Drosophila melanogaster: one gene and its partners. The protein of the gene in region 1 purifies or fractionates together with the protein of each later gene. This does not show direct contact. Each region holds a gene or a part of one and is shown in the gene's direction. Other genes may lie near its edges.

Region 1 (7,821 bases):
TTTTCGTATTTTTTTTTGTCTTGCCCAATCATGTGTCAGATTTGGTTAAAAGTTTTTGGGAAACTACGTAAATCGAATATTTGGCAAAAACACAGAACTTGTTCCAACCAGAAATCACCTAGCAGATGGGGATTTTTGGTAATCCTAAAATAGGGACGGCTTCCTTTCGGTGGCTTAAGCTACCCTACTGTCCACACTGCGTATACGCCATGTCGTACTCGCACTCGCACTCGAATGTTGCGCATACGCCGCGTATGCCCGATTAGCGAACTAGTATTTAAAATACATAAATAATTGGCCAACAATTTGCGCTGTCTGCGCACACTGATTTCGTTGATTGGGCCATCCTCCTCCTACTCCTCTGCCTCCTTCTCAACCTCCTTCATCTCGTCCCGTCCCCGTTTTTCTAGTTTTGATTTTGGTTCTGGTTCGGCATTGTTTTGTTTTTTGCTTAATTTTTTGATTTTTTTTCTTTTTGTATTTGTTTTTAGCCCTGTTATCTCGACGATATATCTACGGTGGCCGGTGGTCGATGCTCGATGTTGTTCGAATGTTCGGTTTCTGGCTGAGATGCTCACTGTGCCGTCTGGCCGGCCGGCCAATGTGGCATTGTCTTAATTATCTGCGGATTTCGTACTCAGGCCGTGACTATCTATTGCCGCCGCCGTGGCTTGACTCATCGCCATCATCATCACCTCGATTCGCATCTAGCATCTAGTATCCTCCTCATCTTCGTCTGCATCCTCGTCCACACATATCCACATCCACATCGTCGTCATGCCCATTCCTCGTTCGCATTCCCATTACCAGTCTCATCATCATTGTCACACGGTAAGAATTTAGATGGTTTTGGAAATTGTGTCAATGGGCTTAAATGTAATTAGATGTTAAAACATCTGAAAATATAATAAAGTAAAAATATAAGATAAATTATAAACATTTTAAATAGCATTTTAGTTAACTCCATATTGAAATTAATATTAATCTTTGGCAATTATGAGTTAAGATAACGAAGCCGCTTTTATGGTTTCTTTTATAAAAGTTTTACCATTCAAGATGTGCTGTAATCCGAATTTGCCAAGAATTAGCCATTGTTTGTTATTAACTACTATTGTTTCTTTTTTTTTAGCTCATTTTGATGAAATGTTTGCCGTGCAGTGGAAAGAGCAGCGGCTACACAATCAACTTCTTCTATTCTTCTATTTTTCTCTGGCAAGATCACGCGCCTCTATGCGATCGCTGATAAAATTCTATTTTTTTTTAGCCCGTCTGTGTTTTTTTGTTCTTGTTATTTTTTCAACTTTTTTGCGGATTTATTGTGTTTATATTGTTTTTTTTTTTTGACAGCATTGCCGCCGAACTGTGGCCATAAACATTTGCATTCGCTTGGATTGCATTTATTTATTGAATTTGCATCATGTGCTGGGTTCAATTTATAGGTAGCTATATTCGCTATTTATATATATAAATGAAATATATATATATATATATATATGTATATCTGTTTATAAGGATAAGCCCCGCACGTGCCCCTGACTTTATGATCGCGTGCTGTTTGTTTGCCCGTCGCTCTTTGTTTGTTTCCTTTTCCGCCGGCTTGTTTGCTTACCTTGCCAACTTGTTTGCCCCCCTTTTGTATTGCCCCACCCCTCTTCCCCCACCTCCTATTGTGGCCCCCCTTGGACCAACGCCCATGCCAAAAGGCACTAATTGCCGCCGCATTTGCAGCTGATTTGGCGCTAAGCGAATGCGAGCTGCCAGGCAAATATTTATGGGGTCATTCCCGTCTCGTGTCAGCCGCTGGCCAAAAAGCCAAAACAACTAAAACAGCTTCAATATCAGCTAGCTAGTATGGCCCTGAAGATTCCAACCGAGTTGCTAATTTAGTAAATAACAAATTTGATAACAGTGCGAGCAACCTGGTTTATCTACTAATTGTTAGCCAAGCTAAGTGGCAGGGATTGGGCAAATTTTATTGCAAAAACTGATATAAAAAAGGTGAAGCCTTTTTGTCAATTAAATATGTCATTTGCTTTTTATATTTGCACATCTTATGGTGCCTGAAAATATTTTCATATGTAATTATTGAACATCTATTTCTTAGCAAGCTGAGGAGAATTATATCAGCAATGTCAAAATTATAATAATAATATTTTTACAGAGTATGCCAGTTTGTCTCGAAAGCTTGAAGTGCGATTTTGAATATATTCAGTACAATCAATTAGTAGCTTATGACACATTTTATATATATTATGAATATTTATAATATATTTATTTCTATTCAATGCACTTTTGTGCCAACGGAGCATTGCCCAATTTCCATCGAAATCGCAGCCATTTTCGAGCTTCTCGCCAATTTCCATCACGTTGCAGTCTCGATCGCTTCGAAATATATATGTAAGTTGGAAATTCAGAAACTCAGAAAAACAGAAATTCAAAAAGTCGGGACTGAGACTTTGACGTTCGATCGTGACAGAATATGAATTGAAAGGGAAACCAGATTGTTAGCACTCGACTATGGGTATAGAGATGGTAGAGGTACTGGGCATGTCCATAAGGTTGGATACCGTTGTGATAGTGTGTGTATTCATAGTTACACACATTATCGAGCCAGTGAAAATGTTCTACACAACTTTGCTATGCTAGTGACGACTATTTTTAGACGTCCAGCACCACAGCACTTTGTTGGCAAAAATGCAGTAACAAAAATAAATAACTTGGCCAACAGTTAGTTAGTTGTTGTTTGCCTCGCCCCGCCGCACTTTTTTTTTTTGATGGATCATCGCCGTCGTGACGTCAGCAAATGTTGTTTTGTTCGCTGCACCGAAGGCGCAAAAATATTCGGCATATTTGTGTTGATCTCTAGCCGTCAAGCGTCATGAAACGTAATGGATACAGCTCCTTCCGCCTGGCCACATCCACGGCATTGTGGGCTGTCCTAGGTTAGTTTTCACTGTACTCGAGTCGAGTGGGCGAGGCCAAACGCCTCACTAGCCGCCAATCCCGGGCACGATTGGGCTGCCAAGAAGCTTTTGGCTTCCATGGGAAGACAGCGAAAGCCTTTAAAATGCCAAGCTGCACTGGGAAAAAAAAAACAATGAAGTAATGTAATTGGTCATGAACGAAGCTTTTGTAAATATACGCATTAAGCGATTTCTTTAAAATATATATTTTTTTTTACTTATGTAATAAAACTATTTTAAACTGTTTTTTAAAGCTTATAAGTGAAAATAAGTTCCTAATTATTAGAAAACTCAAAAGTATTCATTATTCATTACTTTTTTATCCTGAAAAGTTGAAAAGGGTTTGCAAATAAAATGAATATGATGAGATATTATGATAAATCACCTTTAGTTTCTAATAAAGCTACCAAAAAAGCGTTCTAAAGATATCCCTCGGAACCAAATGTATCTGAAAGTCGTAATATCTTAGATCCTAACGTAATGCTCTTGGAAATGGCTTTCTGTGGCTACACATACACATACACATGGCTACACAGCGATTTGTCGCCGCCGTGGAGAGGAAAGAAGAGGAAAGGAGAGGAAGGGAGAGGAGAGTCCGCTTGGAGCTGTCTATGTCTATTTTGCGAAAGGGGGAGATGGTAAGGTGAGCGATGCCGGCGAGAGTGGGTGGCGACATTGGGAGCGGAGAGTGATGGCACCAGAGAGAGAGAGAGAGAGAGAGGGAGATCGAGTGAGAGAGCGAACCGCTATGTCTAGATCTAGGTCTATATGATTATATGCTGAAAACTTCAGTTTGTCAAAGATCGCGACGACCGAACGAACGACGCTAGAGAAACGCGCACCGAAATCGATGACCAATCCAAACGATAACGATTGCCAGCCCGCAGGAGTCATTTCGAAAATTGCGCGCGCGTTTTTGGCGACGTATTGCATATAAATCATATGTATATGTCCGCATATACATATAAACGAAACGAACATATAGAACATATATTTCCATATCTCGATATTCTATTTCATTGTTCATTGTTGCCCCTATTTTTTTTTTCTTGTGAAACGTATGTATGTGCGCGCGTCTGTGGAATGGTGCAATTACAGTCGTAGTTATTGGTTTTTAATGAACCTCTTAAATTGCCATTGAGGAACGTGAAAAGTGCCCGAAAGCCCGAAACGGAAATTATACTTTACACTCATGATTATTAGTTGTGGAAATTGCAGCTTAAATCGCCATTAATCGACACACACATATGGGCGTGGGTGAATCGTTAAATAGTACTCATAGTGATTGCACTGCTACACTGCGTTTCGGCATGTTAAGTCTGGCCGTTTTGAGAAGCAATAACTATTTAACCGAATTCTTCTATTGCCCTTTCAATAACTAAATAACACACAGCGACTTGGCAACGAAATGCTAGCTCTAGAACAGATGAAGGTAATGATAAGAGTGTCTCAACAAACAATACAATCCTGAAACGCACTGTACCTGCAACCTGAAAGCTCTTGCCCCTCTGGATTATAAGTCCGTCACTTTCGGTTTTAATGATCGCATTGAAATGGAATGTCATCGACCAATTTCAATTCTAATTCCATTCCGATTCCGATTCCGACCCAATATCGTCGAGATCGAGGCGACACACGCCCCAAAAACGAGACAATTACCCAGGAATGGGGCATGATTTCTTTTATTATTACTGTGTTTAGATCGAATCTGACGCCAAAAGGGCGACCTAAAAAAAAAAAAAAAAAAAAAACCAAGACAAGAAAAAACGTAATCACAAAGAATGGGAAAAATCAATCGAACATCGAACATTCGATGCGGACCAGTTGCAGAACGGCAAAGGGGGCAGATCGGTGGATAGCTGGGATAGATAGACAGATATATACATAGATATATAGATAGATAGATCGATCGATCGATCGGGCGATCGGGCGATCGGGCGGTCGGGCGAATGATGAAATTTCCAGAGCGTTTCAATAGCAACCGGCAACAGAAAGAAAAAGCAACACCGACCGACAACGAACCATTTACAATTCCAATCGAATGGCAATTGTTGCCGACTTGCAGCATGATTCAAATCGAGGGCGTGACAGAGGAAATGGGGCGGGGGGTAAATACCTAGATTACCGTACTCGATGACGCAGCCCAGGTATGTGTAGGTACTCTCGATCGCTTGAAAGTCGACAGATACTCGCAGTATCTAGCGACAGTGATGAAGAGTTTAACTGCGCTCGGAAAATCCATCATTATCATGCCGCTGATATGATAACCAACCATTGAAATGGCTAAGCAACAATCTGTTAGTAAGATTGTATGGTGTTTTATTTCGATCATTAAGCTAAACTAAAACTTCCATCACTTAGTTCAAACTTTAGCTTGTCTCACGAATCCCATTCCGTCCATCAATTGATCAAACAATCGATCGCCGGATCGTTTGAGTTTGTTTGATCGTTCGATGATCGCGACAACAAGAAGAAGACGACCAAAATTTAACGATGTTGGCCAGTTGGCTAACTGCGGTTTTACTGCCACTTTACGTGCTGCTGTTTTGTCTGGCAAACAAAACATTCGCACACACATGACACACACACGGCACACATGACGTATACGCGATATTTTTGGCCTGCTCTCGCACAGAAACAGAAAGACATAGTGCGAGTGCGAGTGGGACGGGTGGACTGGCGAAGGGAGAAAGAGCTACACGGAATCTCTGTTGCTAGGGTGGCAGTTTGTATGGGGGGTTAGTCAGCTTATAAATAATGGAATATCATCTAGGTGCTTTCTGAGTGCCGCAAACTATGGTGAACTTTCGTACGATGGAACCTCCGGAAAATTACTCAATCGAATCGCACACAAATTTCCCGGAAATCTTATATTTCATTTAATGCTTTTAAGATTTTTTTAAGAACTTTGAACTTAGTAGTTGGTCTCCTTTCAACCTATTCACTTTTAATTTGTCCACTGTTTCTAACTGATTCACACAGATGTCTCAAATGATTGGACCTTCTGGCTTCGATGACCATCAAATCAATTGCATGTGACTGCAGTGAAATAGTACTCAACCACACACGCATAAGTGCATATTTATGTAGTACACTTGAAGAAATTGCATTGAACAAATAATTACAAAAGGAAAAAATATTTTAGGCAGTACGATTTATGGAAAATGCAAATATTTCTAGATTGAAAAAAAAACTTACTTTTCAGCTGTTTTGGCTGTTTAAACTAATGAAACACACCAATATTGATCTTCAACGTCTCCGAACTGTTTTTCGAAATCAAGAAAAGAGAATTTTCTCTCAGTGTGCGCATACTTTCTGGCCTGTTATGCAGTCAAAAGCCGTCACTTTGCCGCTTCTGTTTCATTTGATGTCTTTCTGTGTGCGTTTGCCGTTCGCCATTTGCCATTTGCCATTTAAATGAATGCAGGCAATTTTGCGCTGGTGGCTGCTGTTTTTGCTGCTGTTGTGATTTGCTTTTGATTGGCATCTAATTTATGATTGACAGTTACATTAGAAACATCTCGGAACAGCAAACAATCAGAATCGGGCCTACCGCAAGATCTCGCCAAGGCATCGAAAAAGCATCGCCAGTTGAAGCATCGAAGAGCTGAGACCTTATGGTCGGATATCGACTTAGCTCACGGTTGTCAATCAAGCTATTAAATAATTTACAAACAAACAAACACACACGCGAACACACACATTACATACATATAAGCACACACACACAGCACGCACACATAGATGAGCAGCACACTGAGAATCGAATTTATGAACTAACATCTTGATTTACGTAGTCTTCGCTGGCTGAATGCGGTTTGAAGCTTTGACACCTTGACGGGCATTGTCAAAGAGTTTCACACTCAGCGGCACTCGCACACACCGGCTACTGTTCTATCGGATTACGCGGCGTATGCGCAATGTGGCCCGAACGAGAAGCGATCGAGTATCGAACTGCCAGTTAAGGCGGCAAGTGGAAAATGCAGTTTATCAGTTAGTCAGTAAGTCAGTCAGTCGCTTAGTCAGTTGGGCAGTTAGCCAGCTGGTCAGTTAGTCGCTAAGTCGGCTAGTCAGTCTGTCAGTTAGTCAGTTAGTCAGTTAGTTAGTTTGTCAGTTTGTCAGCCCCCACAGAACAAAGTTGTCTGCCCGATATAGGCCACAATGTGGGGCTGTAAACAAAACTTGAACACTCGACGGAGCACTGACATAACCGCTCTGCAATCGACTGATAAGAAACTACTATATAATGTATATAGATACATATTTATATATATACACATATATATATGGGCTTGCAATTGCCTGGTAGGTGGGTGCCGTAATATTAATTGCCAATGAACCGCGAATGGAAAGGGGGAAATGAATCTGTCAATGGAAATATTATTTTGATAATGAAGTAAGGATGGAGTATTTAATTATCAATTTTGGCCTTATTACTTAAATGTAGTATTAAATGTAATGCAGTAAATGTAAAGTAGAGAACCAAAAAGTTACTTTTAATAATTTTTTGGTGTTTTTATCTACACATTTTCTTTAATTTGGTTGCAAAGTCTTCCCAGTTAGTTCAACGTGACCTTCTGGCTCCCGCTTTTCTTTTTGGACCGTTCAAAGTACAACTTGGCCGGAAAACAATGAGAACACACACTTTTACCCAAAGGAAAATGCCCAACGAACATTTTCACTGGCATACAAAGTGTATTTTCCATCGCCTCGCTGAGTGCGCACAGATTGTTCAGATATACTGGGCGACTATATGGCAATATGGCTATATCTTTGCATGGACATACATAGATATAGATATGCTGTGTGTGTCATGTTGCTGCTATGCTGGCGACGCTGGCGCTGACGCTGGCGTCGA
Region 2 (9,699 bases), on another chromosome or scaffold:
TGCGCCATCATTATACTTGGATACAGGGAGGCGAAATCCAGCGTGGAGATGGGGTCCGCATAGTAGCCACGTTTTGGTTCAATCACAGTCGCTCCTTCATACTGTTCATCCGATCCCTGAGAGGTGTACGAGGGCATGATGAATCCCTTGGTTTTGGCCTTGCGCAGCAATTGACTTAAAACCTTTATCTGTTGTCCGCGGGTGAGCAAGGACTCCAGTGGCACACCCGTCACCCTGGCCATCTCCATGTAGTTAACAATGGCCATTAACTTTTCCAGCAATCTAAGCGGTAAGTAGGCATCCTTTAGGCAGTACATGGCCAAACGTCGACGTGTCTGCTCGTCTCCATTCTGAAGATCTGTGATAATGCTATGATGCACATCCTCCTTTTGCTCCTGCAGAAAGTGATAGCTCACAGCGTTGAGAGTGTACGAGCGTAGTTTGTAGTCGCGCAGCAGGACAAAGAGGAGATCGAAGGGAACTCTACCCTCAAAATTAACGTACTGGTTTTCCCTGCGACCCATCTGCTTCGACTGCAACATCTGTTCCTTGATCACCGAACGAATGTTCTTAATCCTGCCCAAATACTCAAAGTTCCTGACCTTCAAGTGAGCTGCTCGGTTAAGCAAATAGGGGAAGTCAAAGTTGTTGATATTATATCCGGTCAAAATATCCGGGTCAACTTCCCGGACAAAGGCAGACCACTTGTCCAGCATCTGGGTCTCCTTGTCGTGGCACAACACCTGGCTGCCTATGATTGGAGCGCATTCATTTAGGGTAAAGACATTCCTAATGAAAGGTTCTCGTTCTCCCTGCCTTATCACCATATTGGCTATCTGGATGACTGGATCTATTTTGGCTTCCGGAAATATTCCTTTGCGACCAGCGCATTCAATATCAAAGGAGAGGATCCGGAAGGGAGCCACCTTGGACCATTCACCTTCGGGCTCGTGGGATATAAATCTGTCGAAGGCCACGTCTACTTCAATCTGGCAGCGGGATTCAGGCAACGGCTTGCTGTGACTGTTCCTTATTCGCCAGTGACCCATGGGAAGCTCTATCCAATTGCAACCTACCACATCAGTGTCCACCATGAAGCGAATGTCAAAGTCTATGTTATTCTCAAAGGCGCGACAGTCCTGGAAGTCAATCTCCGACATGATCACTTCCTTTTTGAGGAGACGTGAAGCCGCAGCCACAAATCTGGGCAGCGTAACCGATATTTTGATGTACCTCTGCTTCTTGTCTCCATTGTATCCATGGATGTTCAGCTTCTCCACCAGTTCCACCATAAGCACAGCCTCCTGGACATTATCTTTGTTGTTGCGAATATCGGCAATAACCTTTTGATCCAAGGCTTTTTGTAGTTTCTCGCAATGGTGCTCCTCGAATTGACTGGGCGCCTCTATGTAGAAGTATGGACAGAAACCATGCACATGGCAGCACACAGAGTTACCCTCCATGGTGACACCAAACATTCGGACCACCGGCACGGGTCCTATTTGGGCACCTGGCATTCCCGGCAACGGCTGTCCCAAATAGTTTTCCACGTCCAGCTGCTGAAACTCCAAGTTGTGCTTGGAGGGATCTAGTTCTGGGGGCGGCGGACGGGACCAACGCTCACTGGTCGTTTGGTTCTCGGGTCCATCGCCCATTAGCAGAGTCTGGTCCATGTCCTCGGAGTTCTCGAAGGCGGCCAGCTCCGCCTCAAAGCCCATTTCCTCATCGTCATCAGGATTCCTGCGTGAACAATTTTATATTGACTCGTATTAGGCCATTCAAAGGGTTACTCACCTGGGCTTCTTGGCATGTCCATTGGAGGTTCCATTAAACTTGCGCTTGCCATCCATTCTGGGTACCTTGGTGAAATGTTACTTGCAAAACCATAAGACAAGAGCGATGCCAAAAAATAAGGCGCGCTTTTGTTGGTAGGCACGTTAGAGTGACCGCAGCTAGATGTAACTACTTTGTGAAACTTTTTTAGTGCTCCAAATATTTCAAAAACTATGAACCAAAAAAGGAGACTTTAAAATGTTAACTTACTAATATCAGTGAAGGTTATTAAGATCACTTATTTCTATGACCTGAAGATAAAGGGAAATAATTTTTCAATTCCAAACATTATTAATTAATTTCCTCCCCAAAATTTTACGTCAACATTTTCATTTATATTAATACGAATATAAGATAAAAATGAAAACACAAAATTAAAGTTTTGAATGGGGATTGAAAACCAGCGAGTAACTACATTAATAAGCAAAAATGAAAATAATTTATTTTTTTAATATTTGCTATAAAAATACCACACCTCTTCTTAAAAATACCAAACAAGTTGCGAAATTCCCCGCGATAGTGTTGGAAGTCGCACCACACATTCAGTGCTATCAGCTTGCATTGTACCACCAAAATTGCTTCTAGTCCTCCGAAATTGGCAGGTAAAACGCATTAAACTGATAGCCGCAATAGCCGTGTCGTCACCAGCAGATCCTGCCGAGAAACGAGTGCTAGAGCACTGTGGAGAAAGCAGCTGCCGTGTGAAACTCCGGTGAAAATGACAAACCTGTGAATTCCTCGAAACTGTTCCTGGTGGGGGTGTCTCTCCTGCTCTCTCCCTCTCTCTCTATCCGCTCACCCCTCTCGCTCGCTCGCCCGCTGGAAGGAGGGGGATGGACGGTTGATGTTACGACGAGCACCTCAGCGCAGTGTGAATCACGTTTGGACGACCCCAAGGGAACAGCGACCGAGAGAAGCCAGCGATGTACCAGAGTGCCTGCCAGGCGGCCACTACGGGCTCCTGTGTCCCGGGAACCGGTCAGCAGCCAGACAACGAGCGACAGTCGGCGCTGATCGCCCAACAACCCCCCACCGCGCCCGTGGAGCCAGATTACAGTGGCTTCGATATCGTTAAGGCCACCCAGTATGGTGCCATTGCCCGAGTACGGGAGCTGGTTGAATCCGGCTGGGATGTCAATCAGCCGGACAGCGAAACGGTCACCCTGCTTCATTGGGCGGCCATTAACAATCGTAGGGACATCATCCGGTACTTCCTCGAGAAGGGCGCCACCGTGGATGCCGTGGGCGGCGAACTTAATGCCACGCCCCTGCACTGGGCCACTCGACAGGGACATCTCGGCGCCGTTGTTCTGCTAATGGCCGCTGGTGCAGATCCGAGAATCAGGGATGCGGAGGGTTGCTCCTGCATACACATCGCCGCCCAGTTCGCCCACACCGCTCTAGTGGCCTATTTCATAGCCAAGGGCGTGGACCCGGATCTCCAGGATCGAGGCGGAATGACGGCGCTGATGTGGGCAGCATGGAAGGTAAGCTTGGTTTTAAAGCCCGATTTTTACGGGGGTACAAATATCATATATGTACATATAGAATTGTACATTTATCCACAAAAAGAATTTTTCCAATTTTTGGGAAGTACTTGAAATTCAAAAAAGTTCAGTGGAATGTGAGATAAGAAGTTAATATTCAATAAGTGTGTCACTACTTATAAACTCTTTCTTTTAAGGTTTGCGCACTGGATCCAGTGCGCTTGCTGCTGACCCTTGGAGCGAACCCCGCCATGGTTGATTATACGCATGGAAACACGGCCCTGCATTGGGCTATCCTGGCCCGCAATGCCACGGCCATTTCCACACTCGTGCTCAAGTCAAAGGCCTCGTTGGATGTACCCAATCTGCGGGGTGAGACACCGCTCTCCATGCTAGAATCCCAGACGGGAGCCATTTGGATAGGAGCGAAGGTAATGGACCGCGTGAAAGAGGCGGCACTTACTTCGCAGCAACGGCGCTCGCTGCTCTCCAAGCTGCGGCATGACAAACGCCTGAGGTGGTGGTCCATGGTGGCCTGCCCCTTCACCGCCTTCTATCTGGCTGGCATCGTGTTCACCGTGAACACGCTGTACATTATTAAGTTTTTCCTGTTGGGCTGCTTGTATTCCATATTCCATACGATCGGCAAAGCACTATTCGATGAGCACCTGATGGCCCTGCTGCCGCTGAGTGTTTACCTGGCCACCAAGGCCTGGTTCTATGTCACCTGGCTAATGTACATCGACGATGCCGTTTCGTTTACGGCCACCGTTTGCTTCCTGATCTCCTCGCTGCTATTGTGGGTGTGCTTCCTTAAGTCGTGGAAGGGAGATCCCGGTATCATTCGACCAACCAGAGAGCAGCGATTTAAGGTAGGTGTCTGTTTTCTATTAACTCGCCACTAACTTATGCGATATACTTCTTATTTATAACCTCATAGACCATCATTGAGTTGTCGGAGCGGGGTGGAATCGGCTTTGAGCCCGCCTCCTTCTGCTCTGGCTGCTTGGTGCGCCGGCCCATCCGCTCAAAGCACTGCTCCGTGTGTGATCGCTGTGTAGCGAGGTTTGATCACCACTGCCCCTGGGTGGGCAACTGCATCGGGCTGAAGAACCACAGTTACTTTATGGGATTCCTCTGGATGTTGCTGATTATGTGCGCCTGGATGCTGTACGGAGGCTCCAAGTACTACGTGAATCAATGCAATGTGCGATTCGATGGTGAGTTTAACAATTGAGCGTTTAGAATCCTTCTTAAATTGCGATCGCCAACAGACTTTCTCGGTGCCATGCGGGCCATTGGCAACTGCGATGCCTGGGTGGGCTGGGTAATGGGTAACGCCCTGCTGCACATGTCCTGGGTCATCCTGTTGACGATCTGCCAGACATATCAGGTGATTTGCTTGGGCATGACAACGAATGAGCGCATGAACCGGGGACGGTATCGCCACTTCCAGGCCAAGGGCGGCCACAGCCCGTTCACACGTGGTCCCATCCAGAACCTCGTGGACTTCCTCGAGTGCAGCTGCTTCGGATTGGTGCAGCCCAAGCGAGTGGACTGGATGAACTACTACGACTACGATGCGCAAACGCATCAGACCATCGAAAAGGAGCCGCTGCTGAGCGTGGATTGTCCAGATGGGATGGCTGGCGACCACCAGTATGTGTAGGATAAGACCTATCGGGATGCGAAGACGCTTCAGATGCCCATCGCGCATGTTTAACAACCAACACGAAACGCTTTAGAACGTCCGCTACTGCTTTTTTCTCCTTCCCAAAAATCCAATTCGTTTCATTTTCGCAACCATTTTAATTGGTCCCCGCTGATCTGCTGCAAAAATATATATAAACTGCGATTCGCAAACAAGAATTCAATACAACCAAGACAGAAGCGTCATCGCTGACCGATATCGGATGGACGAGTTGGGGTCCAGGCCCATTGTGGCTACCCTTCACTAACGTACATATTATGAATGTATTACTGTAATTACTCTGTATATTTCTGCGTATTTCTTACTCTTCGATCATAAGCCGAAAGTACACAAAACCTTTTTGTCCTTCAAAGTATTTGTATACCAAAAACCTAAATGCAAACGTAAGCAAATGAACACCGAACAAATTTAACAATGCAAACATAATCAAACCAGAGTTTGTTTAAGCGTGCAATATTCAAGATTCTAATTCACCTACTGAGATATTAACAAATTGTAAAGCGCACACAACAAAAGGAAACACCAAAAGTAAACTGTCAAAGTTTTAAGAGATTTGCACGGAGGTGTGTGGGTTCTGAGCGAAGTTCGTCCTAGGCGGGCTGCTCATTGGAGCCTTATCTTATGGAGAAGTGTATAGTTCCGAAAATTCAGGACTACGCAACCTTCACAGCCGACAGCTCTCTAGGATCGACTACTTCGCTTCGGGAACGGCACGCAAAGACTTTTCAAATATCACTAATTAACGTGGCAAAAGCAGCGAAGACAACAATTTAATCGATTGATCCCAAGCACTAGCATACTTAAATCAATAATGAATTAATTCTAAATGCGATCCAATTCTAATTATGCACTAGTCTAGTCAGAAAATTATTTAAGTAAAATGTTAAAGTGCAACTACAGCCACAAATTCGATAAATAAATTGAATATTTATATAAACCCATATAGCTATGAAATGATCTAATTATAATGTAAAAGGAATTTCAGCAACCTGAGAACAAACCGCATAGCAATGAATAAAATATGTTGTAATTGTAACACGTTACTTAAATGCATTTAAATATTAATTCAAACGAAGTCTACAAAACCATTTTAATACAAACAAACGCTAAGCAAACCTTTTCAACTATGTACTGTACGAAATATTGATAAAACAGAAAAAACACCACTTTTTCGACGTATTTTGTATTTGAGATTATACAAACGGATGTGCGGATGAAGGATTTGCTATGAAGTTATATGTTTCAAATCCATTTTGTATATTCCTTTCGCTCACACTGCTAGAAGATGAAAGCTTTCAAAAGACTATATAAACCGAACAAGATCTAACATCAAGCAAGCCCCTACGAAGCATTGCGCATATTAACTTATGAACTAAGTGTTTTTGGCCTATTTAATAAAGCAAAAAAAGCAAATCAGCCCCATTGCCTACATCTTTAGTTTAGCGACTAAGTTCAAGACAAATATATTTAACTAAAGATATATAAATGAATGTATTAAATAGTGTGTAGAACGATGGAAATTGTGAGCTCGACGAGGTGTATGTGTATGTGTAACAATGTGCGTTAAAAACAAATTAAAATAATAAATAGACCTTTATTCCGTATTCAAAAAGCTCGAGTTTGTCCATCATTAAACGGATTCTAATGGGCTTAACACAAATTAAAGGCGTTTCAGATTGGGTTTTAATGTGTTTTTATTGTTTGATGACATAATATTGTAGATTTTAAATTTCATTTTTTGTTTTTATTATTTTTTTTTTCTTTTTTGTCGACATTGATGCATTACATTAATAGGCTCACTTTAAAAAATAGAATTTCTTCCCTTTTATGATAAATTAAGTGAATGGTTTATCGATTGGTTTTCGTTTTGCTTTTACAAAAAGTAAAACATTTAAAAGTAGGAAATTTAAACGAGTTCTTGCGATTTACTGCTATTTAAATTTCGTGATTAGTTGCAATTAATTTTTAGCATTTGCCTTAGACTTTTGCAGCGGGTGTAAATGATATACAATACATATATTATTTTAGCATTATGTATAATTTACTTGCTTGATTGCAAAAAATATGAGAATATCGCGCGCGTTTGCAACGTGCCAATTTTTGTATCCTTTCAATATTATTATTTTTAGTCTAAGCAAATTAGAAACACAATGGCTTATGCACTAAATAAAAGAATGGTTGCAAAAGTTAGTTGAGAAATACAAGACATTGATTACACATAGAGAAAAAGATAAAAAGAGTTCTGTCTGGACTGGTCTGTGAGCGAATCGTGTATGTGTTTCGGATAGCAATAGCGTCTTTTGTCTATATAATATATTTATCAGGTGGGATTTCGGCGTGGCCAGCTTGAGCTCAGTATATATATATACTATATAATGATTGATATTTGGTCGGAGTTGAAAGAAGCTATAGGTGTTTCATCGTTTACATTCGTTTCCCATTTTCACATGCACAACACAGAATACAGAACGCGGCCGAAGGTGAAGTTCATGTCGAAGAAGGGTTAAATTAGACGTAAATATATATATATATATATATTGCAATGCGTTTCATAAGCGCACTTGATAATAGGGGGAAATTAACGTAAATCGGTTAAAATATTTAGATGTATAATTTTTCATTAAGCCTAATACAATGTTTTACGACTGCGCCTGGCCGAGTTTCCAAAGACCGGCAATTAGAATTTGCGCTAGGACAGTGGGCTAATCGTAATACCAGATTGGACTGAATGTGTGTACAGAATAGGGTCGAATGGAACCTGCCGACTTTGGACCATCGATAAGCGCAGAATAAGCGAATCTTTATATATTATAACTACGGACGCGCCGCAGACTTTTAGATGCTTTACAAAGTGGCTTACAGATAGCCCATTTTCACCCTCTTGCAATGCAACTTGGCTGCTTTAAGCGCGGCCCAATCCCACTCACGACTGAGAGACATTTCAGGAAACCAGAATGTGATACGATGAAGCCATTTATGCGACAAACCCGATATACCAACTATGACATTTGCCAGTGCCAGCGATCAAGCGTGAGTGGGAGACCGCGCTTAAACTTAATTCTTTAATAAATATACGAAATATTATACATGCCTAAGTGCTAGAAACATGTGTAGACACATGCCTTAAATATATATATATATATATCCATGTATGTATGTATATATAAATTTGTTTTAGTACACGTATTATATATATTGTTTTTAGTTTTCTCTTTTCTTTTCATTTTTTCTTCTCCACATTTACTCATATTTCTTTTTGTTTTCTTGTTTTTTTAATAAAAAATATATATAAATATAGCTATTTTGAATTTGATTTTATCTCTCTGTTCATATGTATAGTTATCATTTTTGTTTTATGCATTTAAATCTTTTGCTTGCTCAATTGGTTTACCATTAAATACGTCTACAGAGTTATGATTATTGGGTAAAAATAGAGGCTTATGCTTGGATTTAATATACCCCCTAGTTGGGGTACCGCAAAACGCAGTAAGCAATAAGCAGTTGTTTAGAAAAAACACAAAAAAATAATAATTATTATAATTGGTTTAGAGCAAAACAAGAATAAATAACAAATGTGCCGTGTAAATTGGGTTCTGTAAAAATTATGTATATCATATAAAACTTATGCTTAGGCCTAGGTGTCGATCTGGGGATTATAGTTGATAGCAATTGGTAGTTGATTTCATCTCGTCGACCCATTACCATTCGTCCTGGGGTACTGAGTGAACTGCTTGGGATAGGGATGCTTTGTTTGCTTGCTTATCGGCTTGCTTGGTCTTGTAATATGTAAACAATTTATCATATATTTATAAACATTAGTTCCCACTGATGTTACGTCTTTTGCAGCAACTCGCTTTGTGGGCTGGGCGGACTTGTCTGCTGCTGGTTCAACATGGTCGGAGCAGACAATGTGGTTGCCTGGGTAATAACTGTCGTGGCAGAGATGGTCTGTTGTTGTTGCTGCTGTTGGAGCTGCTGATGCAGCTGGTTCGGCGCCTGCTGCAGTTCCTGGGGATGCTGCTGCTGGTTTGTCTGATTGTTCAGCGGCTGGTTCGAATTGCAGAGCACCGAGTAGACGGAATCAACTTTGCTAAGCTTCTCAAAGAGCGGGATCAGTTCGCGCAGTTCGCAGTCGGTGACATCGTCAAACCAGGATTTAACAGGAACCTTTAATGAGGAATAAATTGTTTAGAAGGGGGGTTTTTATATTATGCACTGTTTTTTAATCTACTTACTGCATTGTCTGGATGAAAGATATAACTGGCCGGTGAATTGTCGACAATGACAATCTTCTGAAGGTCCCGCCCCAGACGATTCAGATCCTTAATGTAATTACCCCTGTAATAAACGCATGATTCCCTAAACAGTCTTGCACGAAACACATTCCACCTGCAAGCACGAATGTAAGTCGTATTTTAATGACTAAATTCAATATTATATATTCCTATTTCAACTCACTTGTCTAACAGATCGGCGACGGGATCTGCGTATTTGGCTAGTGATGCTGTGAACAGAACGCACTCGTATAGTTCGCCCATCTTCTGCAGAAACTCGTCCACGTGCGGTCGCTTCAGGACGTACACCTGATGTACGGTTCCATCGATCTCCACGGGCACTATGAAATCAGCATTCGGTATGGGCTGGCAAAATAAAAAATAAGATCAAATA
Region 3 (7,839 bases), on another chromosome or scaffold:
ACTTCATTTAAAACACAATACTTTTGTTTGAATATAAAATTTAGAAAGGTTATAGCTTAAAAGCTAGTATAAATTTAAATTTTTCACGCTTTGGATAGCAATTAGACGTACTTAACATTTTAGATACGCTACCGTCTAAATAAAAAATGTGGACTGAGATTGACTCTTCAAGACTATTGCTTGCCAGAGATCCTTGACAAAGATGCGCTGGATGTCGTTTCTGCTCCTAGGGATCCCCATCACGATGCTGATGGCCGAACGCACCCCATATGTGTGCGATGGCAAGGACGACCGGGTCTGTGACGAGTATCGCTGCATGTGCCGGAGAAAGACGTCGACAGAACCGTATCCTAGAACAGAGTATGAATTTTAAAACAGAAATAATTAAAGGACTTGTCGCTCGAGCTCTTCCTTCGGCGGTGTCTCCTTTGAAAATTCAAATAAATTGGAGGGTTCTGGAGGCCTGACCAGCCTCAAATTTAGATCGTCAGCCAGATACAGGAATGGCTTTTCCAGGTTAAGTTTTGACTTCATCCGCCCATATGTTACCTGCAGGAACGCCGTGCGATCATTCATAGGCTCACTCTTGTTGCCGCAGATGATCACCGGGATTTTGTTGCAGACGCGCACCAGAGCGCGGTACCAAATATACTAGAAATTTGTAATCATATAATCATACCATAGTAATACTTTATAGGTCAGAAATGCTTTCAATCCCTGTTTAAGTACTCCATTGAGTAGAAGTTATAGAAATTGATTTCTCTTTCAAGCAAGTCTTTAAAAATGCATCTAACAATGCCATCAATTTTAAAAGGTTTCCACAAAGCTCTTAGCTCCTCACAAACCTTTTCCGATCTTGCAACACTCGAGTACCGATGCTCATCGCAACAATTATGTCTAACCGATGTTGATGTTGGCATTAATAATTTCGGGCTGCTACTTGCCATTTATCAAAAGCACTGATCTTCCCATATGCCGAATGGGCAGCTTAATGTCAATCGGCTCTTTTCCAAGCTCTTGGCTTCTTTGCCCCCGCGCTCTGGGCCATTAATGCATTACAAATAGGTGCGGCAGACCGCAACAGCAACCTGGGCAAAGGGACTTGGCCACAGACGCATCGGTGCCGTTGACCAACGTGACTGAGATTGAGATTGAGGACTGCAGTTCGCTCTGGCTACCTGTGGAAAAGTGGAAAGGCAGAGAACTGAAATCCAGCCAGCAGACGACCTCAAGTGTAAGGCAGCGCAATCGAGTTGCTGCAGCAGCAGCAGCAACATGCAACATCCATAGTCCAGAAGCAGTTCAAGTTTGCGCCAAGGAATTCCTTGCCGCTGAAATAATTAAGCATTGCAACATTGTTTATTGTTGCTGTTGTTGCTCCTGCTGCTGCTGCTGCTGCTGGGTGTTGCAGGCTCGTTTAACAAGGCAGCCAAGTTCTCAACAAGTGCCTCCTCCTGTTCTACAAGTTTTTGCCCCTCCACTCCGATTTTTTTCATTTTTTGCGCCTGTTGCTGCTGCTGCTGGTGCCACTCTAAGGAATTTCCATTTTATTTACATTTAGAATGTGCCGAACGGACTCGTCGCATGTAAAGCGGGCCAAATCGAAAGCTATTAGACCTATTAGCATATCGGGCTGGAACATGGCAAATTTAGTGGCAACATTGTTGCCTCCGCGATAAACGCACTAAAAATCAAGTCTTCACCTTTATTACCGCATCGAAGTGCCAGCGTTATGGCAATTCGAAAAAGAATAGGAAGCGATCGTTACTTATAGAAAATATAGATAAATAAATGTGCAAAACGCCAATCGATTGGCGTACATTTCATGGCGTTTACCTGATTGTTGTGGCCAGCCCACAGTTAACTTAATTGCCACTTCCCAAGCGCTTTATTTACGGAAATACTGACGGCTAAGCGACTATTTTACACGCAGAGAAATGAAGTGCAATTTAGCTAATCAGGTAATAGGCAGGCATTTTTACAAAGTGCGTACTTGTTTCCCATAATCTTTCGTTATGTTGTAAGGATGTTATTCCTTACTTTACAACATTTTCATTACATAATGGAATTGTAATTGATTTGAATATCTATATTTCTCTGGGTGCATCGACTGTGTGAAAGTGTTGTCAATGCTGCCGCTTGGCCATAGCCTACAATCGCGATTGGCTGATCGAGTTGGAAAGGAAAATAGCAAGAAATCATAATAACAACAACTAAAATTTTCCATAACCTTAAAAAATAGAAAAAAAATGAGGCAGCTATTTATAAAATGCGCAATCTGCGAGATGCGTGCGGCAATCTGTCCGTCGGTCCGCCGATGCCGCCAGCTGTGTGCCAAGATGCCGCTGGCCCCCCGAAGTCCCCTCTGTGGAGCCCCCGTTGGATCCCCCCTTGGAGCCCCCCGCCGCACTGCGCTGTGTTGTCTGCGTTTATTGATTTATTAGAAAATTCCAATGAACAAGTTTTAATACACGACACACGGCGAACGATGAAGTCGATGTTGTCAGCGTGCTTGTTGTGCTTTTTCTGCTCCTTGGCTGCTTGTTTTGTTGCACTTGTGTTCCTGAGGCAAGCACAATATACGGGAAGAAAGGCTGTGGGAAAGAGACAGAACAGCCGCTGGTAAAAGTAACAAGTGCAATATTTTAATTACATCAGCGGCAAGAACAACAACCAGATCAGCGGCATCAATTGAGTTTGCTGCATGGATTTTGGGCAGCTAGCGTTGCCAGATGGGCACACGAGGCGTATGATTGATATGGTGAGTAAGGCTTGGGGAATCATAGTATCAAGGCCTAAATAACAAATAAAACATTTTGAAGGACAAACAAAATTTTTAAAAATATTAAATAGATCGATGAGTCAAACGGAGCTCATGTGTGTGTTATCTGCAGAGCCTGACTTTTGTGCTTCGATTTCATTAAACTCTCACTTTGGCATATCTCAAAACGATCTAGCTCCTATAACTCGAACAAGCCGAACAATCCGGCAACGCCGATCGACTCGAAAGATTGTCTGCTCGGGACTCTAAGCATTTTGCAATCAATTTAGATTTGCATTAGCAGCGCTGCAGTCTCGAGAAGTCCGCGACTTAGTCCGAGATTTAGAGCCAAAAATAAACCGAACCAGTTGCGGCAGCGCCGAAAAGTCAAATGTGTAACAGCTCTGTGGCTTTGGCTCGAAGAGAGACTTGAAGAAAGTCAAGATATCGCAGCTGAGACAGAAGACAGAAGACTGAACACTAAAGACTGAGGACCGAAGACTCTGTGTTGACTGTAGACTGTGGACCGGAGACTGTGGACTGAAGACGGCGACTGAGAGAGCTGAAATATTGTAATTGTGAGTCTGGCTTGTTTGTTATTGTTGCCTTAGCGGTTGCTTGTTGTTTTTTTGGCTTGATTAATAATTAATCGCACTCGCACACACACACACACACACACATACTGCCTGTTTTAATTACTCAACTTAAATGGCGCTTTGAGCGACTTAAGCAACTTGCCATCGTGGTCGGCAGTGTGTGTGCGATTGACTCTCACTACTACGAGCTCAAAACTAACTAACTAGCTTGTGTTGCTGTTGCTGCTTGTGTTGCTGTTGCTGCTGTGCTGTGCTTTGCTTTGATGTTGCTGTTGCTGCTGCTCGGCTCTGCTTCTGCTTTTGCTTTTGCTGCTCCGTCTCCGGATCGCTTTTGCCTGCCTGCCTGTTTGCCTTGCCTCGGCCGCTTTGGACGCTCATTCAGTTTTTTGCGCTCAACGCTCGTTGTACGGAACCGAAAAACGCGTTCGTTCGTCCACAGAGTGTCGCCAAATCGAGGCGAAAGATCGCTGGTTACAACCGAATATACAGCCTCTAATCACTTTTTTTCTGCTCTGTAATCGTTCGCGGTTTCTGCGGCCATAAAATAAAGTAAATCCGAGTTAAACGCTGATAGTCGCGCCTGAAGAACCACAGAAAAAACAGAAAATATCTCCCGTCGTTTCTCGTTCTCGTTTCCGCGATCGCTCGTCAGCCAGCCAAAGCCTCTCCGATTTTTGATACCGATTCGGTATCAGATAATATATTCGTAACCATCGCCATTCTTGCGAGTGTGCCAGTGTGAGTGAGTGATGTGTCTGTGTGCCAAATCCAAATCGAAAATAGCCAAAGTCTGAGCTTGGCCACCATCGTCAGCAGCAAACATGTGAAGTGCCAGTGATTTCCATAAGCCAAAATCGAAGTCGAAGTCGAATCGAATCGAATCGAAGCCACAGCGAGATAGATAGGTCGAAAGTATTTGAGTGGATATCCGAGTCGAACCAGTGTATAATGTATGCGACGTTCGCGAACTGCCAGAATTGGTTGTTGTTGCAGTTGCAGCCAAAGGATTTGTGGATTTTGGAGCGTAACTGAGCGGCGTGCAGCAGGTGCACCAGGTAAGCCAAGCCGAGAGTGTTAGCAAATAATGCGCATACGCCATGGTGGCTGCGTGTCCAATTCGAGATCAATCGAATCAATTGAACGGCTGTTAAACAGCTGACTGGGAAAACTGGAACTGGGTGCAATGCGTGAGTCACATACACATATACATATGAATACAATGCATATAGACTGGCTGATTACTTATGTATATAAATGTGAAAGAAATAAATACATGTAACTCAGAAGTCAGTGGATTATTTCTGAAACAATAGCAATTGCAGTATATTATGTTCATTTTCTTCAGAGACTTTAGCACTGTTTAGATTTCTAATGATAAACTTTGCAACCATTTCACTTTTATGCATTTACATTTATGAAGACACCTAAAAAATCTATATTACTATGAGGAAATCTAGTTTGCTTTAATAAGTTTGCCAATAGATAAGTCCCTTCCGCCAACTTGATATCACTGCATAAAGTTTCGACAGATTTACGCCAGTATCCGGGGAAAAAGTGAAATTCTATCTCTGGACCCCGGACATTATCAGCAGAGACATGTGGAGATCGGGTGTCACTTGCATATTCATGGGGGCCAAGTGATGAACTGAATTAACGGCATTCCACACCAGTCACAATTAGCGGCTGACACTGACATTGGCCATGGTAAAAAACCCTTTGACCATATGCCATATACTCGTTAATTTATGACGCCATTTGGCTAATTGAATAATTATATGTGACTGGCTGGGCGTGGCTGGGCAGGGCTTGCTTCGCTTAGCTTTGCTTTGGTTTGGTTTGATCGATCACGATTGCATAAGCCATCCCACATGGGATCGGAATCAGCATCGAAATCTGAATCTAAATCTTAATCGGTATCTATATCGATTTATTCGATTTGCCTTGCTAATGCGACTGGGGGCACTAAATCAGTGTCAAAGTTCACCCCACTAGGCTCAATTAGTTTATTAACTGCGATTTGCATTTGCATTCGCAGGGCGCAGCAAGCCCGTTGGTTAGGTGGGAAATTGATAGCTTCGAAATGTGCAAAGGTACAGAAATAAAGCCCGATAACAAAACTAAGCAACCGCAGCAGCAGCAGCAGCATCAGCTACATAGAAGCAACACATCAGCAAGACAGAGCAGCAATATAATGAGATATAGCTACACAGATATAGCAACAGCTGACGATGAGACCATGAAGGTCTACCACTTTCGGAAATTCGACGAAAATGAAATAAAAATCGTGAGCACGCAATGAAGCAGCCAAGTTGAAGTTGGCTTCCACTTCCATGCCATCCCATCACCATCTCCATCTCAATCTTCATCTTGGCCTGGCAAATCACGTTGCTGATAACAACAACTGAGCAATGCGGCAATAATTTGCTGCCCATGCCCGCTTCGCCCCGCTCTCGGCCAAGTTAAGTGGCTACTGGTCATCAGCAGGCAGCAACAACTGGCTTAGGCCAACATTTTTATCAAAAGTGGTGGCATTAGCAACCGCATCCCCCCCGTTGGCCGCCGAAAGAAACTGGTCAGTCTCTGGAGGCTTGAGACTCCCAATAGTTTCACTTATTTTACACGCATTTCTTAACGATAAATAAATTCCACAAGCAGATGCGGCCAGCAACAGCGGCAACAACAACTTGGCCCGGTCAGCAACAACTTTTGCTATCACGTTTCCATGCAAACAACACACAGCCACAAAAATATTTCCATTGGTATTCGCTTGTACTTGAATTGCCCCACGAAAGATTGTGGGGGGGGGGAGGGTGTTCGAACAAGAGGCTGCAGCAGGTGGCAACTGCAACTGCAACTAATGCTTCAGGTGCTTTTGGCCCGGACTTTGCACCTCAGTCTACCGTTTGGGCCATTCCGATGCCAGATTTCCGCCTGATGTGGCGCCTCAAGGCAGCCGAGAACGATATCCGATATCGCTGGCTGCTGCTCGATGGGTTTATGGTTTATGGGATACACCTTGACTGGAAAACCAATTGGATTGCACAAGAAGTGTGATTTGATAGGTGCAAACTTAAATTATAATTATGTGTTATTATATCATAATCATAGCAAGAAACGCTAGCTAACAATTCCAATATGTATCAATATTCTGACTATGTCAACTATCTAATAATATTAGTTTACATTTTTATTTAAAAGTCGAGCGAGCCCAGCTCAATCACCTGCTAAACTTCTATGCTAAACGAAGATGAATGAACTTAGCTTCAAGGTGGCCAAACGAAACGACACGATTTGGCAACGATCTTCTGTCTTCTGTCTGTCAAATCGAGAACTGATCAATTTTGCTTTTTATTTTATAAATTCTCTCTCGAAAATATATTGTATAAGGTCATCTTCTTCGAGAACCCGACCATACTGGTTTTTTTTTCGGTCCAGAAGATGCCAAGCGCCGTAGTTTCACTCGGCGTTCAACGCGGCGTATGCCTAATATGCGAACTTGAGTTACTTTTCCAATTCACTTTTGCCCCGGCCTTTCTCGCCGCCCCGGCGATTCGCCCAAATAACGCCATCGGTATCGGTATCAATTTCAATTTCGCAGATATACATTTATTGCATATGATTTATCATGTCTGACACTTGGGCCAGACCACTTGTCAAATGGGAAATAGCCACGACAACATGCTGTGATTTTAGATAAATTCATAACTCAGCCCAACTTGTCTTGCCTTCAAAGTTCAAATCACTTGGCGCTCTCACATGGGCCACATATATATATACACACACACATACGCATATTTCATGCTAATTATTTATTTATGAGTTATTTTTATTCGATAAGCCTCAAATGGAGGGACACCATTTACATTTACAGTTATGCGTCGAACATACATATTTTCCGTTTGTTTTTTCAGTTTGAATTTAATTTTCCCACTTATTCCACTGGCCATTTCAAAGGCAGCAAGTCAGCTGTTGCCACTGGCGAATTCGTTTTAACGAACTTGAAATCGCTTTTCGAGCTTCTGGGGAAACGATAATAAACAGCCACTTATTTTCATATATGTATTTCTGTTTGGCTGTATTTTGTAGTCTACTGGCAATGGGACACTAATCAGTGGACTTCGTTACAAAGCTTAGTTTGAAGTACTATTGAATAGCAGGAGCCTTGTGGTTCCTTCAAACATATGTTTTGGATTTTGATAAGTAGGACAGCAGGAAATTCGCAAAGCGGATTGATTAGGGGTCGTTGTTTTCTCGGGGTTTTACATTTGCAAAGTAACAAAATGGATAACAAATTGTATATCAATTCATTCATACTTTAGCTGTGGCAAATATATATATAGTATGCAAGCTTAACTTAGGCTTTAGATTTCGGTTTTCAAGATCTTCCCATTTTCAAAAGACTTCACGCCCATTTGACGACAGAACACGTTCCTTGGGTCTGTTTTTATCCACTGTTTGTTTGTTTAATTACAACGTTGTGGT
Region 4 (7,163 bases), on another chromosome or scaffold:
GACATGGGTGCATTGCTCAAAAACATGTAATTTAAGTGCACACTACATGAGTCAGTCACTTGAGATCGTTCCCCGCCTCCTAAAATAGTCCCTTAGTGGGAGACCACAGATAAGGTCCTCGCCGCTCAAGATAGGCAGATGTGCCCGAGCGTGGGACCTCGATAAGGCGGGGACTATTTACGTAGGCCTCTGCGTAGGCCATTTACTTTAAGATGCGATTCTCATGTCACCTATTTAAACCGAAGATATTTCCAAATAAAATCAGTTTCTTACAAAAACTCAACGAGTAAAGTCTTCTCATTTGGGATTTTACAATTTCAATGGAGAAGTAACAGATACTTGATTCAATGGGAAAACATACGTCCTCATATTTAGTTTAAACTACGAATTGTTAACATTTTGACAATTTAGAACGTATGTTTACGGACACAGCTGCTTTAGTTGGCACCAACCTACGTTTCATCCCATTTCAGCTAATGCAGTCCTCGCCTTGCTGGCCGAGAGAAAACCCTGTGATTACCCACTTGGCTCAGCTGCTACCTAAGCCAGTGACACGTGTTAAGCATTACGTTGACCTGCTGATGCTCGTCCTGTGGGATCCGGAGCCCAGCTTTAAGCGCCCATAAACGTGGCCATCGGAATATTATTTCGAAACGATATTGGGCAAGCGATAAGCATAATTGCGGCAATAAAAGTTTCCAACTTCTGTACGACACGCTCTTGGATCTGCTGGTAAAAATGCAACTGCAGCTGCTGCTGTTGTTCGAAGACGCTAGCTGATCGAATTGAGAAATACCCTTTGATATGGGGTTTCTTAAGAAAATTAGTTTCAGACTACTTTAGTATACAAAGCAATGTCTCAGAATAATCTGGGATTATTATGAATTGAGTAAATAAATATAATAGCTGACTGAAAGATAGCTATGTTAGACTTTAGTTTAATGATCAAGTAGGTTCACAGAACTTTGTATATACCATTCTGTATAGTTTTAGGCCAGTGATACAGGGCTCCTAGCCGGGCTGGGACACATTATGATACCCTGTGAGAGGCGCCAGAAAAAACAGAAGTGGCCGGAAAGGCATGTCAGACAAGCGTACGCTTACGCGGGAATTGCCAGGACTAAAACAGCGTTGCATGCACCCAACACACACACACACCAGCACAACCATCAGCATCCAAACGAACGCATAACAATGCAAACTTTATGGGATTTACGGGGGAGGATATCACCCATACCCCAGCTGGGGCGCCACCCCGCACACACCCCCTCCCCCCCCTTACGCGCATACGTCAGGATATCGCCAGGACGCATGGTTCTGGATCGCAGCTGCGTATGCAACGATTTTTTTAACATTGCATTTACCTTTGATTCTATCTAGCTACTTGTTATTCCGCTTTCTTTGCTCCTTTTTTTTTACTTTTTGTACTTTTTTCTTACTTTTTATACCCTTTTCACATTTTTCGGGTCGGATTTGTGCTGCTCAACAATTGTTATTGAAATTGTTTTGCCAATTTTTGGCCAACCATAAAATTTTGTTTGCCAAGGATACTTACTTGTGCCACCGAATGAGAAATCGCCTGAGAAGGCAAAAGCATGTGAGAATGACAGAGAGAGAGAGAGCGGAAGAAAGAGAGAGGGAGGGAGATGGCAAATAGACATTTTCAAGAAGGGTTAGTACGATTGCCGACATAATGGACCAAGGCAAATAAAAACGGATCTAAGCGCACTCTAAATTCAAAATGAAATTGGTTAAAAGTCCTTTTGTGCAGCATGTGAAAGATAGCGAGGCGAGAGAAGAGGGCAGCAGTTAGTAAAATGTCCTCCGAAAATAAAGCGGGGCATCCATAGCCCCACATCCGCGATACTCACTTGTCTCACCGGTGGTACATGTCGCTGGTGCCGAGGGCGGTCCGCGTCCAATATTGTTCACGGCTATCACGTAGAACTCGTACTCCGTGTAGGGACTCAGGGCACGGACCACATAGTACATGGTGATGATGCCGCTTATCTCGCTGAAGGCCTGGTTGGCGTTCTTCGGCTTGTACTGGATCACGTAATATTGCAAGTCCTCGGGACCCTTGTACGACCACTCCAGACGCACCGAAGTGGCGGTCACCTCGGAGATTTGCACATCGGTGGGTGCGGTGGGCAGAGCTGTGAAAGACACCAGGTCGTGTTATTACGATTATCAGTTTCCCATGTAAGTACATCGCACTCCAAGACCACTCCACTTACATTGCACTTTAACCACCGAAACGGAATCGATTTGGCCCAAAGTGGAGGCCGCTATGCAAGTGTAGTTGGCGCTCTCCTGGATATTGATCAGCTGCAGGACATTTCGTCCGATTGGCATCTCATTCTCGGGTGTAAGATCTTCGGAGCCTGAAAAAAAAGGATAGGAATTGAGTATTGAAAGACCATATTCTACAACCATTTGACATACCCTTCATCCACTTGACATGCGGCATGGGTGAGCCGACGGCAATGCAGGATAGATTCAGATTAGATCCCAACATCACCTCGCTGATGGTCTCTGGTGGGCGGGAAAAGGTGGGCGGAACACGACGGACTTTCACATATAAGTTGGTGGCCTTCGAGTGCTCCGTGCCCATTGAGTTCTCAGCCACACACTCGTATTTGCCCTGATCCTCCTCGCGACTGTTTTCGATTTGCAGGAAGCCTAAAAGAAATAAGAGCGATATAGTTAAGATTTATTTGAAAATTCATACAACTTAGGTCATACTTAAGAATCTATGCTTATTGGAAATATACCTGATATTTATTTCTAGAACAGCTGCCAAAATTTCAGCCTGTACCTGACCAATGGGTTGGTTAACCCTTTATATAGCTTTATTTTACAATCCATCCAAATGCAGTTGCCCACTGATGCAATTGAACTACCTGTTTTCCATATATAAGATACTATTCTATGACCAAGGAAGTCAGTATTCGTTCGAGTCTCTCTATGAGAACAACACAAAATGTTGAATGTGTTTTTTTTAACCAGCCTCTTTTATGCTGCAAGTGCCACCACATATGTGACCACCAATAATCACATCGAGATGCCCATATACCAGAAGCGTCCTTTGAGCGAGCAAATGGAGATGATTGATATCCTGGATTTGGGTGACCGTCCGAGACGACAGGCGGAGCCCAATCTCCACAATTCAGCATCGAAATTCCTTCTCGAAGTTTACAACGAGATTAGCGAGGACCAAGAGCCCAAAGAGGTCCTGCATCAGCGCCACAAACGCTCGCTGGACGATGACATCCTGATTTCCAACGAGGATCGACAGGAGATTGCCAGTTGCAACAGCATCCTTACCTTTTCGAGCCGCTTGAAACCCGAGCAACTGGACAACGAGCTTGATATGCACATTACCTTCAACACCAACGATGTGCCAGTGGATTTGAGTTTGGTTCAGGCCATGCTCAGGATATACAAGCAACCAAGTCTGGTGGACAGAAGGGCGAACTTTACCGTGTCCGTGTACCGAAAACTGGACAATCGCCAGGACTTTTCCTATCGCATCCTGGGCTCTGTGAATACTACGAGCAGCCAACGTGGCTGGCTGGAATTCAATTTGACAGATACGCTGCGGTATTGGTTACACAATAAGGGACTGCAACGTCGAAATGAGCTAAGGATATCAATTGGCGATTCCCAGCTGAGCACCTTTGCAGCTGGATTGGTGACACCACAGGCCAGCCGCACCAGTTTAGAGCCCTTTATTGTCGGCTATTTCAACGGCCCCGAGCTGCTGGTCAAAATACAGAAACTTCGTTTCAAGAGAGATCTCGAGAAGCGAAGGGCCGGTGGTGGTTCGCCACCACCTCCTCCGCCGCCGCCCGTGGATCTGTACAGACCACCGCAGTCCTGCGAGCGCCTTAACTTCACTGTGGATTTCAAGGAGCTGCACATGCACAACTGGGTGATAGCGCCCAAAAAGTTCGAGGCCTATTTCTGCGGCGGCGGTTGCAACTTCCCGCTGGGCACCAAAATGAATGCCACCAACCACGCCATCGTCCAAACCCTGATGCACCTGAAGCAGCCGCATCTGCCCAAGCCCTGCTGTGTGCCCACAGTTTTGGGTGCCATCACTATTCTGCGGTATCTCAATGAGGACATCATCGACCTGACCAAATACCAAAAGGCAGTGGCCAAGGAGTGCGGATGTCATTAGATTTAATTGCCTATTTCGTTTGTGATGTACATAGTCATGGTGTAGTTATAAGTTTAAATAAGATGAATACAACTAAAAGTACTTCTAAAACTGACATATTTGTGTTTTAAACCTAGGCCGTGTTCGCATATCAACTGTTTAAAAAGGCTTTCAAAAATATCCATCGATGCTTAAGTAAGTTACTAAAACTCTTCATTAAACTCAAGACCCAACTAGTTGCTACACTTACGAGAACCTAAGCCTATTTGAATATTGTGCTGCAAGACTTTTATGCTTATTAAGCACAACCTCTACTTGTTACGCTCTTTTATGACCTGCTTTCGTAATGGGCACAGGGGTTTAACCGTAACAGACTCGTAAGATCTTAGATTTATCAATAAATTTGAAAGTCAAATGATGTTTGCTTATCTCCCATCACTTTGATAGGCAACCCACATTATCCTTGCCCCATAAAAAGGTCCTCAATTCACCTTTATGCACGGAATCCATCCACTCGACTTTGGCATGCGGATGCCACGGCGGCCATGAGAAGCAACACATGGAAAATTAACACTTTTTATATGATTTTAAAAGCCATATAAATTTTACGACAAGTCACCGCCATCCCCCGAAGTTGTTGCAATTCCTCCAATGAGAAATTACACACCCGCACACGTCTATTAAAAATCGAGGCTCCCTTTTTCCGGCATATTACGCTAATGTGGATGACAAACATACGGCGGAAACGCCAGAGGAGTATTTTTGATGTTTGGAGTGGTGGTTGTGGTGGGGGGGGGGGGATAGGGTCATAAAATGCCTTCACATTGACATTATATTTATATGACTAATAAACAATGAAGCACGAGAGGGCGATGAGTAGACAAAATGAATTTTACGCAAACAAAATCCACTTCCCTTCGGTGTTGTTATGCTTCCCCCAAAAATCCAGTGGCTTTTAAATCAACACAGTTACGAATGCGTTTTTCCGGCAAACAATATTTTTGATAGCCATTGGCATTTTGGATCTGGCCAAAACCATTAAGTTGTGGCCCAAATGCGTATGTTATGGCGCTTTTTAATTGACCAATAACTATGATTTCACACGATGATTCAGAGGGACATAGTTGACATCACATGATTTGTTTTACTCGGTTTATAATTTATTTTGCAAATTCATTTCATACTTTTCGCAAAATCATATTAGCATTTTAAATGAACCATAAGAGATTCGTTAACAGCGTGTGAATTTCTAAGCGTTTAAACTCCAAAGCCGACTGTTACTGTGTGTGTGTGTGTGTGCGAAATTAATCATATTGAGTTCGATATTCAATTTTCTCTCGCACACAATTAACGAACAACCTCAATTCAATATGCACACGTGCACTCACACAGAGAATGTGTGTGTGTGTGTGTGTGGGTGAGCAAGTTGAAAATCTGCATGAAATATGACAATTAATTTGCGAAACAAGAGTTTTTCATATGCAATATTATCGTTTAATTATTTATTGCTGCATTTTGCGCATATTCAAGCAGTATTGATCGCGCTTAAACGGAAAGCTTAAATTAAAAAATCATATTTCTTTTAATATGATACTGAGCTTAACATTGCGATCGAGTGTAAAACGTTCATTCTTCTTCAAAAGAACAGCGTATATATCTTCCTGCTCGCAATCATATTCGAATGTTTAATGAATTTTAATTAAATAATTTACCAGTTACCCCAAGCAAGTTTTGAAAAGAAGTAATTACCATTTGTTCCATAAAGCCTATGGCATATGTTGCACATTGCAAATTTGTGCCGGTTTAATATCCCTTGGCAAAGGGTTGTGTAGTTACCATTTAAAAGGAATAATAAATAGACCGTGTCAATAAACAAATATGGGAGTACAATCGACTACAGTTGAGTGAATCATTTTAATGGCTTCAGAAGCTGCAGGGCATAAAAAAAATATAGACGCCAGGCGTCTCGAAAAAGGGTATTTTAAATGGGAACATTTTGCGGAGTAAACAAATTTCTAATTTATTAAAAGCCTGCATATAACATCAACTAATTTTTATCTATATTATATCTAAATTGTTTCTTTGCTTAACCCCCCCTGAAAAGAATCTTTGACTACGCTCGTGCCCTTCGAATATTGAGCAAAAAGTGCAGAACAGCGTTAAATGTTGCAAAATCGCTCAGTTCGCACTAAAGCCATGTTTATTGTGTCTATTTTATGTACCTTTCCGTTTTACTATGGATGTCATTTTTTGTTTGATAGCAACAAAACAAACGGGGCAGCTGTGGGGGTCATGTGTGGGGGGGGGGGGGATAAAAAATAGGCAGATTGCTGTGCGGTTTTTAGTGCAGCGCCCATTGAAGCTGTGTTTTAGGTTTGTTTTCGCTGTGAAAAGGACGCTTTGTGCTTTTATTCGCGCTGCCACTGCCGGCTCACCTATAACATGCATCAAAGTTGATTGTTGCGAAATTTATTGCATGCTATTTGGCCTGCATGGCGGAACATTTATTACGCTTGTTGCACTTCCGCTGCAGCCAGCATTTCCCCAACAGGCCGGCCTATTGTTTAGGGCCCGCTGAACCATTCAAAACAAGCATTAAATGGTGTAACTTTTATAAATAATCGATCCCCTCTCGTTTCCCGCTGACATGTGTAGTTGAGCGATCCAAAACAAACGCTATTCGCGCCATCAGCCTTGCTGACAATATTCGAGGTAAGGTGCCACAATATGATGCAAATTGTGGAACAAAAAGACAACGTCTGTGGAGAGCGTTGATTAAAATTTACGAAGCCAAGTTTCATTAAAACTCTTGCCAACCCCTCTGCCAAATACATTAACGTAAGCCACCACACACACACACACACACACACAACTTGCGTGCGTGATGGCTGTAGCAATAAAAATTAAGCTAGCATACATCTGGGCGCCGTCTGCGTCCCGAATGTAAGTCATTTTCACCGAGTTTTCGGCCTTGTCTCTGCGTGCGTGCGTTTGCTAC

What was found.
Region 2: the proteins of sog (region 1) and Hip14 purify together in Drosophila melanogaster (affinity purification with western blotting; one study listed by BioGRID). This does not show direct contact.
Region 3: the proteins of sog (region 1) and dpp purify together in Drosophila melanogaster (affinity purification with western blotting; 4 studies listed by BioGRID). This does not show direct contact.
Region 4: the proteins of sog (region 1) and scw purify together in Drosophila melanogaster (affinity purification with western blotting; 2 studies listed by BioGRID). This does not show direct contact.

Annotation. Positions count from the first base shown.
Region 1 is NC_004354.4:15,629,383-15,637,203, reverse strand, and holds the start of sog (short gastrulation), read left to right. Parts: upstream 1-3,769; 5' UTR 3,770-4,395; intron 4,396-7,821. UniProt on the Drosophila melanogaster protein: Putative negative growth factor. Antagonist of dpp, a protein involved in patterning the dorsal region and in the development of the neuroectoderm; dpp inhibition is enhanced by tsg.
Region 2 is NT_037436.4:15,985,869-15,995,567, forward strand, and holds Hip14 (Huntingtin-interacting protein 14), read left to right. Parts: upstream 1-2,367; 5' UTR 2,368-2,756; coding exon 2,757-3,320; intron 3,321-3,517; coding exon 3,518-4,192; intron 4,193-4,260; coding exon 4,261-4,540; intron 4,541-4,594; coding exon 4,595-4,989; coding exon of another isoform or gene 4,990-5,043; 3' UTR 5,044-6,596; downstream 6,597-9,699. Other genes in the region: PolD1 (DNA polymerase delta subunit 1), read right to left, coding at 1-1,740, 1,795-1,850; hzg (herzog), read right to left, coding at 8,863-9,198, 9,267-9,420, 9,490-9,671. UniProt on the Drosophila melanogaster protein: Probable palmitoyltransferase which is required for photoreceptor synaptic transmission and for the correct expression and localization of palmitoylated protein Csp and synaptosomal-associated protein Snap25. Probably palmitoylates Csp.
Region 3 is NT_033779.5:2,424,639-2,432,477, forward strand, and holds the start of dpp (decapentaplegic), read left to right. Parts: upstream 1-3,733; 5' UTR 3,734-4,412; intron 4,413-7,839. Other genes in the region: CG44139 (uncharacterized protein), read left to right, coding at 203-373. UniProt on the Drosophila melanogaster protein: Required during oogenesis for eggshell patterning and dorsal/ventral patterning of the embryo.
Region 4 is NT_033779.5:19,696,743-19,703,905, reverse strand, and holds scw (screw), read left to right. Parts: upstream 1-2,937; 5' UTR 2,938-2,983; coding exon 2,984-4,186; 3' UTR 4,187-4,527; downstream 4,528-7,163. Other genes in the region: Lar (Leukocyte-antigen-related-like), read right to left, coding at 1,556-1,579, 1,881-2,156, 2,238-2,384, 2,446-2,682. UniProt on the Drosophila melanogaster protein: Part of the signal that specifies dorsal cell fates in the embryo. Acts together with dpp.